Drosophila melanogaster: one gene and its partner. The gene in region 2 interacts genetically with the main gene of each other region. Each region holds a gene or a part of one and is shown on either strand. Other genes may lie near its edges. The genes, in order: gzl and Syb.

Evidence for each region.
Region 1: of Syb (region 2) and gzl, changing one suppresses a phenotype caused by changing the other (phenotypic suppression), as found in Drosophila melanogaster (one study listed by BioGRID).

Annotation. Positions count from the first base shown.
Region 1 is NT_033777.3:6,381,056-6,388,999, reverse strand, and holds gzl (godzilla E3 ubiquitin protein ligase), read right to left. Parts: upstream 6,087-7,944; 5' UTR 5,479-6,086; intron 4,666-5,478; exon of another isoform or gene 4,278-4,665; intron 4,020-4,277; 5' UTR 3,853-4,019; coding exon 3,742-3,852; intron 3,642-3,741; coding exon 3,469-3,641; intron 3,410-3,468; coding exon 3,318-3,409; intron 3,253-3,317; coding exon 3,059-3,252; intron 2,998-3,058; coding exon 2,802-2,997; intron 2,665-2,801; coding exon 2,311-2,664; intron 2,247-2,310; coding exon 2,099-2,246; intron 2,031-2,098; coding exon 1,688-2,030; 3' UTR 696-1,687; downstream 1-695. Other genes in the region: TfIIFalpha (transcription factor IIFalpha), read right to left, coding at 6,471-6,672, 6,731-7,318, 7,395-7,944. UniProt on the Drosophila melanogaster protein: Endosomal E3 ubiquitin-protein ligase that regulates the recycling endosome pathway by mediating ubiquitination of Synaptobrevin (Syb).
Region 2 is NT_033778.4:10,248,781-10,254,422, forward strand, and holds Syb (synaptobrevin), read right to left. Parts: upstream 3,638-5,642; 5' UTR 3,502-3,637; intron 3,393-3,501; exon of another isoform or gene 3,295-3,392; intron 3,205-3,294; 5' UTR 3,195-3,204; coding exon 3,148-3,194; intron 2,434-3,147; coding exon 2,099-2,433; intron 1,807-2,098; coding exon of another isoform or gene 1,790-1,806; exon of another isoform or gene 1,589-1,789; intron 1,048-1,588; coding exon 971-1,047; 3' UTR 655-970; downstream 1-654. Other genes in the region: CG12914 (uncharacterized protein), read left to right, coding at 1-78, 162-380; Csgalnact (chondroitin sulfate N-acetylgalactosaminyltransferase), read left to right, coding at 4,207-5,245, 5,360-5,496, 5,557-5,642. UniProt on the Drosophila melanogaster protein: Involved in the targeting and/or fusion of transport vesicles to their target membrane.

The DNA of each region.
Region 1 (7,944 bases), on a different chromosome or scaffold from region 2:
GTATTAAAAATATATTATTCCTAGACTACAATCAAAATTGAAAGAAATAATTATTGTGCATACATTACTTCAAATACAGTAAGAAATAAGGTAAGTGGACATTGATCTGTCGGTTAGTCAATGTTCCAAATATGTTGCCAATTTTCTGTTAGGTTTACGATGTTACCGTTAGCCTTTTAACCACGAAATTGAAAAAGCAGTTTTCGTCCGATTTTGTCGCATATCCGAAAAGTATGCTTTAAATATGATATCTTTTTTATACCAATTCCTCGTGGAGTAAAATGTTATACTAAATTCGTAAAGGCCACAATTTTGAAGTCTTGAGATTTTGTTGATATCATTCTATCGATAGCCAAAAACTGTCACACCCTATTGTTCTATAAATATTTTGAATTTATACTATTTTAACACAGTTTGGAAGAAGTATTTATTTTTTGAATCAATTTAAAAATGTTATGCAAATTTCCAGCGAGATTCCATAAGAATTTTGAATTGATCCCCCGCACCCACAATAGCTAAGTAAGAGGTATCTGATAGTCGATGATACCGTTCCGTTTTCCCTTTGTTTTCGTTTTGAAATAAACTGACAGACTACGTGTCCTGGATCCTATTTAGTTTCTATTTACAAAAAAATAAAAGATAAAATATACCACAGCCAAGAACTTTTAATTTAATAAGAAACAGCGATTGATTAGCTTAGGTCCATTACGTTTATTTTGTTGAAAGTAAATTAAATTTAGGTTACACTGCCACAGCATTTTTAAATATATATATTTGCATCTATGCCCTAATTGATTTCGTTTTTATGGGAACAGCATTTTTGTTGCATAATTAATTATTTTTGGGAAAAAATAATCACAAATGTGTGTGAGTGTGGCATCGGTTTTGACTTGAAATATAATTTGATCATATTTTAAAGACTCTGCTCTTCAAAGAAAAGATGAGTTGACAATCTATTGCATCAATGGATTTCAGTTTCATATGCTACACAGTAAACTTAAAATTAGTTAAAACGAGAATAATGTACAATATACAGGCCAGTGCCTCTCAATCATTTGATTTAATTGTTTTCATTGTAATAGTATTGAAAAGCAGTTCTCAAAAACATCGAAATAAAAAGACGATCTTAGCTAAAACGTAACTATGTTCGTGATTCAGTTTAATAGGTGTGCTGAGTGTTGCTTTAATATTTTGTTTTTTTTTTTATTTTGTAGAACAACTGAATCAAAGATTCATGCGAATCAGGTAAACAATTTAATCTTAGATGTGGTAACTTGGTATTTTTTCTCTTCCATCTATCGTTTACATTTTTGGTTGGGAGTTTGCCGGCGAGGCTGTATTTCGTTTGCCAATTATTGGGTTAATTGTAAAATGTATATAAAATAAATCACAATTTCTATACGCACATAAATGACGCGTGTGTGTGTATCGTGTCTGTGTGGATTTTTGTGGGTGGGTGCCCTGGAAGTGGGACAGCGCACAGTCCAACACAAGGTTCGGCTACATATTTATTAATATTAATAATAAACATATGTTAATTGTTTAAAACAAAGAAGCTGGCAGCCACAGCGCTGATCGCGAACCCAAACGAAAAACTCGTACCCAGGCTGGGCTCATGTCTCATCTCTCAAGGATCGACGACCACCTACAACCTACAGGCTAAGGACTCGCGGCGAACTAGCTCGCCTCATATGAGAAACTGGCGATCGGATGCGCTGTGCGGCAGGGCGGCCACGCCTATGCCGCCTTGCGTGGGCGTTTGCAGAAACGCCGAATCGTCGACTGTTGCTGAGTCAGCTGCAGGCGTGCTGATTGCTATCGGTTCGTAGATCGAACGATGCGGTGGCATATCGTCTTCGTCCTTAAAGGAGCCGCTTAAATTCGGATTGAGGATGTTGTTCGATGCGGGCGAGGCTACAGCAATTGTCCCCGTCACCGGCAGACCCATGGCACTGGTACCGGACTCAACGCGCTCCAGATAGGGTGGCGCCGCCACACTAATAACAGCTGGCTGCCGGCGGAAGAACGAGCTAAAAGCAGTAAAAACAGGAAGTTATGCACCTTCTACCAGTGAGCTTCATCACAAATATATAATTACGCAAAATTTATTCTCGACCAGACCGAGCGACGACTCTCAGTTAACTGTTCGGCTAGGTGGGCCGGTAGATTCGGAGCACGATCAAAGGGATTGATGCGTTCATGTGCTCCAGAAGACGTGGCCGGGCGCACAGTAGAGGCCAGCAGAGCTGTACAAGTAATAGGGTGTGTTATTTAAAAAAATCAAAAAAAATATTTCGGCAGCAGACGTACCGTTCTCATCGTCAGAGCTTTGGGACTCCTCGAACGGATTTCGACCGGCGTGACCACGGCGGAAGGTTCCATGTCGCGTGGTTCCAGCGACAGCCGCCGCCGCAACGCTTGAGCTGCTCCCAGCTGCTCCACCAGCCGAAGAAGCCGAGCTCACTTGACCCACCTGCCTACCATTGGACTGCTGTTGCTGCAGCAGCGGCGTTGTGTCGTCATCCGTATCCGTGACATTATCCAAAGAAGGCTGTCGACTCCGACTTGCACGCGCTTCGCCCTTCGTAAAAACCTTGCGCTTACAAATGGGACACACCCGACGGTTTTCGGTAAGCCATGGATCAATGCAGTGCGTGTGATAGGCTGAAAGTAATAACGAATTAATATGTTGTCTTTGCATTAAAGAATTTTCTGGCGATGTCATATTAGTTTAAGCATTTGTATATGATATATTCTGAAACTACTAAAGCTGAGCAAATAACCAAGACTGTATCCCTTACGATGTGAGCAGGGCAGCACGCGAAGCTTATCGTCCTCTATGAAGTCCTCCAGACAGATCACACAGGTGTCGTACTTGTTGTTTGCGTTGTTCTTGGTATATCGGAGCACTGGCAATTTCTTCAGCATGCTCTTTGGCAGTCGATGGCGACGCAAGCGGCGCTGCTCGCGGATGCACTTGTAGATCATATAGATAACCTGTTCGGCAATCAAAGCAATTCAGTTGTGTAAAACAGCGTTAAAACTCCAGATTTCTTACCATTATGATGAAGCACATACCGATCAGAATGGAAAACGGCAATATTAACTGTGTATTGATATTGAAGGGCAGCTCATCGTTGATGATTAGCACCACCTCGGTCGTAAAGTAAGTGGCCAGCGCTTTACCCGTCGTGTGGCCCACGAAAACCGAGGGTATTCTTATACCCGTTATGTTTTCGGCGGACATTTGCTCTGTAATTGAATATGGGTTTAAACAAATCATATTTAGACCTGAGCACCTATGTGTAATCACTTACCCAAGTCATCGCCTTCATTATTGTAAACAATCACAGCAGAATAACTCGCATTCTGGGCCACTCGTATCTTACGCTCAAAGACGCATTCGCCACTACAAAAGATTTGAGTTAGGTCGAACTGAAGTGTTTATATCTACCACATATAGCTTACCGCGCTACAAGTGCCACAAATTTGGCTGAGGGTGGGTATTTCAGGTGCGGTGGTCTGTCCAGGCTATCACAACCGTAATAAGGGCGCCTAGCGGGAACCACATACACTTTGAGACCATTTGAAGGCAGATTGGGACCGAATTGAGCTGGCAGATCATTGAACTCCTCGATCAACTGTGAGTAAACAATATACGATGGGCGTAATAAGTATTTGCAATTTGTAATAATATTTCTAAAATATTAGCAAGTTAAACTTGTCATTAATTGAACTTGCCTGGCTGGTTGCTTTCCGGTAAACCAGCACGTGGCCCCCGACCAAGGTCGCCTCATGACAGACCAGGCACAAGCCCAACAGGGTGAGTATCTGGCAACTTCTCTTGGACATTCTGTCGCGGAGGACACACGTTCTGGAGATGATCGGGACTTGGTCTGTACTGTTATTGCTCTAGTCCGCTATGTCCAGTGCTGTAGCGATTTGTCTTCAACATCCGCACCATTCGCATGTCTCATCTGTGTCCCACCGCCAGCGATTCTGTGCGCTTGGACTTCGGACTTAAAACAAAAGAAAATGTTTTTTAACATATTATGAATGATTATTTATTTGGGTGCTATAACTATTTATATAAATAATAATAATAATTTTTGCAACTCGAGTATTATCCTGCGTGTAGTCAACCTAGGCGTAAACCTCTCCGCCTACGAGGCCATGGCAACAAAGAGCTCAGCTGATAAGATAAACGGCCAACTGGGGGTATTGTTGATTTGCTTACTCTGAAAAAATTTGCGTTTCTTCAGTCACGCTGCACTTACAGCTGGTTTGTTTGTTGACACAGTCAGGCAGACGACGGTTCGTTCGGGTTTTCGCGAATGCATTAATGGTTACTTCAAACAGAACAGAAAAATCAACGCGTTTCGCTCCTTGGCTGCTATTGTACTCAATTTGCCATCAATTAATTTTATCGCGATCAAATAATAGTGGCCGAGATCTTGGGCGGCAGCTGCTGTAGTCGGAACAAATAGGTTGATGAGTCACGAACACCGCTCCATGCTAAAACCAGAACCCAGACCGCATGCACATTTAACTATTTAGCGTCGACGCACCGTCGGTCCACAGTTGGGGCAGAAAAAGTGGAAAGTTTCTATTCGTACATATATTACAAATTCTGCTAATACACAGCCGAGGGGAGGTGTGCAAATATGTCACAAAATGTTTATTAAAGTTACGATTTGACAAAGAAAACGTCACTGGCATTAGCACATCGGTAGACAATCGGAGCAAAGGCTCCAATGAGAACGTGACTTTGTTTTTATTGGATGGTTAAACAATAAATGGGAGGCCGACATTCGTTGTTCCAATGAGAAATTCAATCTGGGGAGGCGCGTGCGTTTAATAGAATTACGCCCTACGGATTGCCCAACAGTCTTTGCATTCAGGTATGAGTTGGTGATCCTACCATGTAACATTCTATTTCCATTTCATGGCATGTTATAAAGAAACGACTACGGTGTAGAAGGAGTTTGTTTTTAAGATGATTTCAACTAGAATGCTATTCCTTTGACAAACAAGTAGTTCAACAAATTATTAAAATGTTGGTTACTATCGCATATGTTTCTACACAATTTTTTAGCAACTTGGCGATCTTTTGCCAATTAATAGTATGGTCATTTCGCAATTTTCAAAACTTGTATATAATTTTCCTTGCAAAAGCGCTTGCAAAAAAGCTAGAGTAGCTATCTGGATATGTAGAGATACATATGTATTGACTGGATTGTTTTAAACAATCCTGACATACGGATTGAATGTTTAGCGACGAGGAATGCAATTCGCGTTAATTCGCTTTGTTTGGAAGGCCGATATCAATTTACACATTACACAGCGTACGCAGCACCCACCCACCAACACACAAACACGCGCACACACACACACCTTGAACTTTACAAGGCACGAGTGTGGTTTCAAGGTTTTCCTTTTTGGGGGAGGGCATACGCTCACGCAAACACGCATACATACATACATAGGCACTAGGCAGGTGTTTCCTGAATGGTGTACAACGGTGGGTTACAGGTGAAAAGCGGCCTCGATTGGAGGCAGCAGCCCACAAGTTATTGCACTTAAATTTCGTATATTCGCTTTTGTTGTTTTTTTTAGGCGCCTCTGTGTGCGTGCCTGCTACTGTGCTTGTGTGCGTTCAATTAGCACAACAACAAAGCAGCTGAGCGATTTCCTTTTGCTTTCCCGACGCCCATTCGCGTAAATCCACTGGTCACTCACTTGATTAGGGCTTCTCGTGCTCTTAGTTGACCGTTTGGAGCGACTTCTGGCCAGTTCCTGTATCCAATCCTATTTTTTCAGCACTCGCTCGCCTCCTCACTCGTCGCCATCGCACTGGTATTGCGTTGTACTTTGTTTTGCTCCCTTTTGGGGCTCGGACTCCTCGGGTTCCTTTAGTTGGTGGTCGTGGTTCAGCGGGGACAGCGCAGTGGCTGCGAAAAGAGCATGACAGTCGCGATAAGAACGCTTTGGGTTTGGTTCACTTTTCTAATTATCGGATATTAGAATTTACATCCCACCCGAACACAGACACATATACAGGGCTAGAGCTGGAACTAAATCGATGTATAGCTGCTGCTGGCTTCCTGACGGCGATGTTTTCGTACATCGATTACTCCCATATTTCGATAGCTATCGACTAAAATTTTAAAAATATTAAAATCCAGTATTCTCAGCAACTGTTTCAGATCATTGTACAGAATTTAGAATTCTCAACTTCAGAACCTGAAACCATATAGAAATATAATACTAAGATATAGCATTAATAACTAGTTTTTAAGATTCTAGAAGTACAAATACAATGAATTGGTTAAAATCAGTTTCTGTGCAAAATACTACTTGCCTTTTCGAATTAACCAAGAAAATTAACCGATTTTCAGTGGTGCGTTTATATTTTGTGTTGAACAATAATGCATTTGAGTTATGAAACATTAAAATCACATGACTGCGGGCTACTTGATCCAGAGATACATTTTCCCCTGGATGGTGTGCTTGACGGGATTGATCTTCTTCAGGATTTTCGTCATGGTCTCGACCAAACGGTCGCTGGAGACAGGCGTCTTCTTGTTCTTGAACTTGGTGAGCAACTCGGTGGCGGTCAGGGGCTTTCGCTTAAGATACCGACGCACCGCCTCCTCGGTGATGCCGTAGTCCCTAAACAAAATACATGAAATTAGAATTAGGAATTCCAGTATATCACGGCTTTACTCACTCTACTTTGCCGCCAGAGAAGGAAGTGGGCAGCGATGTGCTAATCTCGTTCTTAGGCCTCTTTGCTGGCGTGCTGGTGGGACTGTTGCTTGTGTCCGAAGCGGTGAGATCGCTGGGTAAGCTGTTCATCTTGCGCTTGCTGGCATCCGTCGAGAGCGTTGGAGTGGCCGAGCGAGATTTATTGGCATTGCTGCTGCTGGCGATGACCTTGCTGCTCGCAGCGCTCTCTTTCTCCTTTTCCTTTTCCTTGTCTTTGTCCTTGACGACGACCTTCTTCTTGGGCGGTCCGTTGCTAAGGTCGTCCTCGGAGTCTGTGCTGTCAGAGCTGAAGTCTGTGGACGAGTCACCGCTGCCATTCGACTTGCCCTTCTTGTCGTCCTTTGTGGGTTTCTTCTTCTTTTTGTCCTTGGATACCTCGTCCTTGCCCTTATCCTTCTTTTTTTTCTCGCCGTCGGCATCCTCCTTGTCCGACTCATCAGACTTCTTCTCATCATCCTCCTCTTCATCGGAGGTAAGCAGCTTGCGGAGCGCATCTTCCTCGGCCACGCCTTTCATGTCCTTGTCCACCTTTGCCTCTGGATCTGGTTCGCTAGAATAGGGTATAAGAAATTAGTAGATGTGGTCCAAATTGTATTGCCATTATCAGAATCGTTTGGGGCACATACTCTTCACTGGAGCTGGTGTCGTAGTCCATTTCTCTGCCCTCCTCGTCACCATCGTCCGACTCCTCGAAGGCCTCGTCATCAACATCCCTCTTTTTCTTTTTCTTGTCTGCGCCCTTCTTGCCCTTTCCCTTGGCCTTGCCATCGTCGCTGTCTTCCTGCTCCTTCTTCTTTTTATCCTCCTCGTCCTCCGAATCCGACTCATCCTCGGAATCAATCCATTCATCCATGTCAGTGATCTTGAGCTCCTTGGATTTTTTGGTGGCTGCCTTAATTAGCTTAGCCTCCTCCGGATCCTGCTCCTCTTCCTCATCGCCGCGCAGACGCTTTCGCAACATAAGGGAGAAGTAGTTCATCACCTTTTTGCGCCGACCAAATTCCTGTTCGGCCTCCTCCGCCGACAGCGATTTGTAGCGCTGAATAGGCTGGAAGTTGTACCACTCGGTCAAGGGGTATGCCTCAATGGCGCCGTCTGGTGCATGGGTGAACACATAGAAAGCTGCATTCTCGCCTACGCCGCCCTCGCGGATGCCTTTGAACTTCTTTCCAGTCT
Region 2 (5,642 bases):
ATCATCGTGTGTGCCGAGATGAAGCGTGTTATCATAGAGTTTCCAACCCTGCTAGTATACACCATTCTCTCGAGCGTGGTAAGCCTCAGGGAAACGAAACGATACACCTACTTTCCCATTTTTAAAATAACGACACAGTATTCCTCCAATTTTGCCCACAGTTTGTCATAGTCTTTGGCGCTTCCATGCGAAAGCCGAACTTCTACCGCCAGGAGTCGACCGGGGACTACATACTGATCGGCCAGCTGTACTACCTCAACTTTTTTGCCCTATATATGGGCTATGTGTGGACGACAGCCTCGTTTATAGAATTGATGGGATGGCGCGCGGACATTCATGATATATTCGTGTACCTGTTCTATCGGAAGAACATCGAATGAGTGGAACGCATGCGTGGACTATCGGAACAGCTGGGACAGAATGTTTATGCGAGACGATTCAGTTCCTGCGGCAATTGGTCAGTGCCTCGATGTCGATGGGGCAAGTTTGTCTGGGTGCCCGCGACTGCTGTCGTCTTGTTTCGATTCGGTTTGCCGGAAAATCGATAACTGTTTCCATGGCACGCGCATCTTAAGCAAAAACGCTGAATGTAAATAAATGGCTCTGTCCGCGAAACGTTTCCATAAAACTTCGGTGGACTTGATGGGTCCGGTTAAAGTGTAGGTGGCATGATGTATTTTCAATTGGATGATATACACGTATATATAATTGTATATAATGCAATACACATTAATGGGACCTCTGGTCTCGGCTACGACACGTAAAAATGTTAAGTTTAACATTAAGATTTAATAATTACATTCTGGTTAAATATATGCTAGACGCAATTTTAGTAAGTTATCCTTTTGATTTTCTTCATCTCCCCTTCTCTCATTGCGCGAAAAGACCAGAAAGGTTTCCGTCCCAGTTGTGTTTGTTTGGTCCTTTTCCATTTCGTATCCATGTGTTTACCTCACTCCCTAGGAGGCCTTTAGTGCGGCGGTGCTTGGGTGATGGCCTTGTTTCCTCCACCACTGCCGCTGTCACTACTAGACGGCCAAACGGACACTAAAAAGGGAAATACGCAGATATTAGAGCTATGTTTATATCAATTCAACGAGATATGAAAAGGATTTCATATCCTATCTCGCATTTAAATGAAATCGCGGTCTTTTTAAGTAAAAGTTCTAACCACCCAGCACATTGTACTGAGCGTTTTGTTGACGAAAGATTTCTTCAGTTATTTATTAATTAACAACTTTTAAAGTCAGATTTTATCTTCCCGCTTACTATCTTACATACCTTTCGATGTCAGCACGGATTTCGTATTGTCATTCTTATTTAATACTTTTTACGCGAGTTTAATTTGAATAAAATCGAAATGACTTTTTAAAATGAAATTTCTCCATAGAACAGAGCCCTAGCCCCAACATTGCACTGTAGATATAACCATTTTTAACTTCTTAATAGCTTTGCTGAAGCTATATACATATGTATGAACTTTATAGTCTACACACGTATGACATGGAGGTTCTAATCTTCGCACACTACAGACTAAACAAATATAACGATAATTAACACTTAGGACAGGCACAAGAACAACAATTACCTTTAGAGCTTTAGAGTTGCTTAGCTTAAGACTTTTATAAAATATAATAAACAATTTAAGGAGTATATAGTAGGAGCCAGTACACGTACACAAACGTGTTAAACGATTAATCTGAACCTTAACTTTGCTGATTGGGAAACGGAATTACATGATTTTTGTTGGCTTTGCTTTTGTTTTTCTGTGAGTGTGTGTTTAATTGTATCAATTGAAAAGCGACACTGCAAGTAAACAGAAATTCACAAGGGGTTGTCATCAGTACGAGTAGGAGTATCTGTTATTGGATTAGTTAGCTGCAAGCCACATGGACAAGTTGTTAGGACCGAAACCACAGGTTGAGCAAGATTAGGGCGTTTGCAGGGCGTCGACTTGCGTTATAGATATAACAATACCAAACCAAACCAGCCACCTAGCTACACTACTGATCTTTAGCCTGATCGAGAAAAACCGCAACCAGAAAGAAGCACCAGCAAGAGGCAAAAAGCCGAAGCGGTATAAAATCGGTTAGCTTACCCAGAACGATGATGAGCAGCACAACGGCTATCACGCCCAGAATGATCATCATCTTCATGTTGGCCCACCATTGCTTGCGCTTCAGCTTGCCGGCCTGCTGCTCGAACTGGGATGCTCCCTGCTCCAGCTGATCCGCACGCTCGCCCAGTTCCGATAGCTTCTGGTCCCGCTCCAGGACCTTCTCCACGTTCACACGCATAATCCCGACCACCTCGTCCACCTTGGCTTGGGTCTGCTGCAGCTTCTTCTGGGCTGCATTGTTGTTCCTGATTTGATGGTCACCGAATTGATTGTAGTTGTCATTCGCGTTCGGCGGTGGCGGAAGTATGGGAAAACTGTACAATATTATGTGTGTTTGTGGGGGTTGCTTACACTTATTAAGAGCAGCAGATGGATCATCAAGCTGCAACGCACAAAAGCACGAGTCTTGGTATATCATGCCATCGTTATCTATGCCAATTCACCTTTCACGTTTTAATAATGGGACTTGTGTCCTATAAATACTTTCTTTCTTCTTAAATTCGGATAGACTAATAAAACTTCACAATCTCAAGTGCTGTTGAAATTCCATTGACAAAAAAAAATATAAAATGAGTAATATTCATTTGTTTTTCATAGATGTTAAATGAAACATACTTAAGTATGTTCAGTTACCATTTGCGATAAAGTGATTAATAAGCAAATTCTGTTTCTGATTATAAGCTACTTGCAAATGTTTTACAATTTAGAATCGAATATAATTAATACTTTTTTGTTATTCGAGTTAATTTGCCATTTCACATTAATATTCCATCTAAGATAGCAACTGACTTTACAATATCTCAACTTAACTGAATGCTTTTAATGACCCTAATTGATTTCAAACTACAACTGAAGCTACCGCTTGGGCAGCAGCATGACGTTTACGGTATTCCAATGTCCGAAAGTGAAGTCCGAAGACTTTACTTCCGGTTCGCTGTGGCCCATATGACTCAGGTGACGTCACTGTATGGGATTTTCCTTGCTTTTGTGCGCTGAGCCTGTTGATTCGATGGATTTCCACCACTTACTCGTTGTTGTTGGATCCCGAGGGGGAGGGGGCTTCGTTGTTCTCCATTGTGAATTTGCTGCGGAAAGAAAGCGAAGCAGAGAAAGGCCTTTATTGGATGTCTGGTTCTTTAAATGGGGAGAATGCATGTTCCATCACACACACACACCCGAAATTGTTTAGATTACAGGGCCGAAAAGAAAAGAAAACAAAACGCAGCACACGCCTTATCTATTCGGCCTATGAATCACTCGATTTATAGGAATGCCATCACCTTTGCTCGAAAAAAGAACTTGTTGCATGCCGCACTGCCAACAAACGCTGTTTACATGGGTGGAACGCCACCCCCAACCACCCACCACCCCCGAGCACTCACCTTGACAATGTGCCTGTAGAATACTGCTGTGTATTTCGGGTTTTCCACGGAAAACTGCGGCTGCTTTTTAAATAGCACTATTTTTTTTTATAGAAATATCAGCTTGTGATCAGTGTGACCGTTGAACTATTAGAGCTGGAACCAAGCCCGATACCTTATCGATACTATCGATGTTTCCTGAAAACCCCTTGCAAATATAAAAAGATAATACTTATCTAGCTTATAAAAAACATGAATTGGTATATTTAGTATGTGTATCGGCGCACAAATTATTGTTAACAAGCACTTGCATTCCATTTTTCTTTAGTTCCTTGCAGATGATGTTTGATTTCAAATCAATGTCTTATATTATTGTATCTTATTTTATTACTTAAATTACCAGTGCCGCAAGCCAAAATGAAATTTTTGTTTGCTCTTAACTGATTTATCTTTAATACTTTTACAAAAGATCAGCGAAAATTATTAATAACGCACTGTTGCCTAAATAGCAGAGACAAAAACCAATAAACTGTTCTACCGAGCCATGTACATGTATAATATGTAATAAAAATGTAGAATTCCACAGCAATGTATAAAATTTGTGATAATTCGTTACTAGTTTTTTTTACAGTCTCAAATGTGTGTTTGCATTTTACTATTGCACTTAGATAACTAATTATTTTATTATTTTCAATAGGTTGAAAATTTTGTAAGAAACTATGGAAAATGCATAACTCCCTGGTGACCAAGTTGCTGCTGCGGCTTTTGCTGCTCTTCGCCTTGTTGACCGGCGCCTCCATTGTGGTGCTCACAAAGTGCGGATTCGATGAACTGACGACGAGGGAAACTCAAGCCAATAATCCGAGTGAATCCAGCGGATTCAGTTACACCTTAAGCGAACGAGAGGCGGAAATTGAGCGGCTGAAACAGGAAGTCCTGGCTCTCCGCACTCAAATCCTCTTTCTACAGAATAATCGCAGCACTGCCAAGCCATCAAATGGCAGTCTTCAATTGCAAGAAACCACCGCGGGGCCACCAACTGCACCACTGGGTCACCATTACGACTGCAGCAGCTATATTCGCAAGCAGGTGGGCGCCGCAGAAATTCTGCATGGACTGCCGCTGAACAACGAGTACGAGCTGATACCCTACAATCACTTCACCTTCACGCGAGTATATCCCATCGACTTGGGCCTGGGAAAGCGCGTGGTGGAGAAGCCCATCGGTTATCGACGACGTGACCTCATCGAGGCGGTAAACAAGGCGCTGGAGAGCCTGAACAGGAATCACTCAGCGAGAATACGAGCCAAGGGAGCTGGTTCTGCAGCGGCTTACGCCTCGGATGTGATCAAATACACCCTGGATGACTTTATCGAGGGCATATACCGCAACGAACCCACCACAGGCACCCAGTACGAGCTGTACTTCCAGAGTGTCAAGCACCAGGCGAGTCCAGTGCGGAGAGCCCTGGTCATGCGACCATTTGCTCCTCTGCAAACGGTGCAGCTATCGGAGCTATCTTCCAGTGTGGATAATAGTGGTGCCCCTCCAAGTCATAGTCCGCCCATAATCCACGTGATACTACCGCTGGCTGGACGTCTGCACAGCTTTCGCGGCTTCCTGCAGATGTTCGCCAAGCTAGAGGATCGTCGCCTGGAGCTTATTGTGGTGTACTTTGGAACCAGTGGATTGGAGCAAGCTAGGAGCCTGGCTGGACGATCCCAAAGGACTCAGTTTTTGGCACTCAATGAGACTTTCAGTAGGGGTAAGCACGGGTTTCGTTTATTAATATTACATTTGTTTCGTTCATAATACATATGCAAGTTTATAATGCATTACAAATAATATTGGTAGTTAATAATAGCCATTTTGCTTATAGCCAAAGCTTTAAGACTGGGAGCGGAGCACATTCAACCCGCTGAGGAGGACGTGCTGCTCTTCATGTGCGACGTGGACATTATGTTCACGACCAAGTTCCTGGAGCGTTGTCGCTGGAATGCAGCGCCTGGAAAGAAGGTAAATATATCTGCTATTATTTAAATTACTAATACATTAACATCTATTTTCAACGCTTAGGTCTACTACCCCGTCGTATTTAGCCTGTACAATCCGCATGTGGTGTACTCACTGCAGGGCAAGCCCTTGCCCAGCGAAGAGGAGCA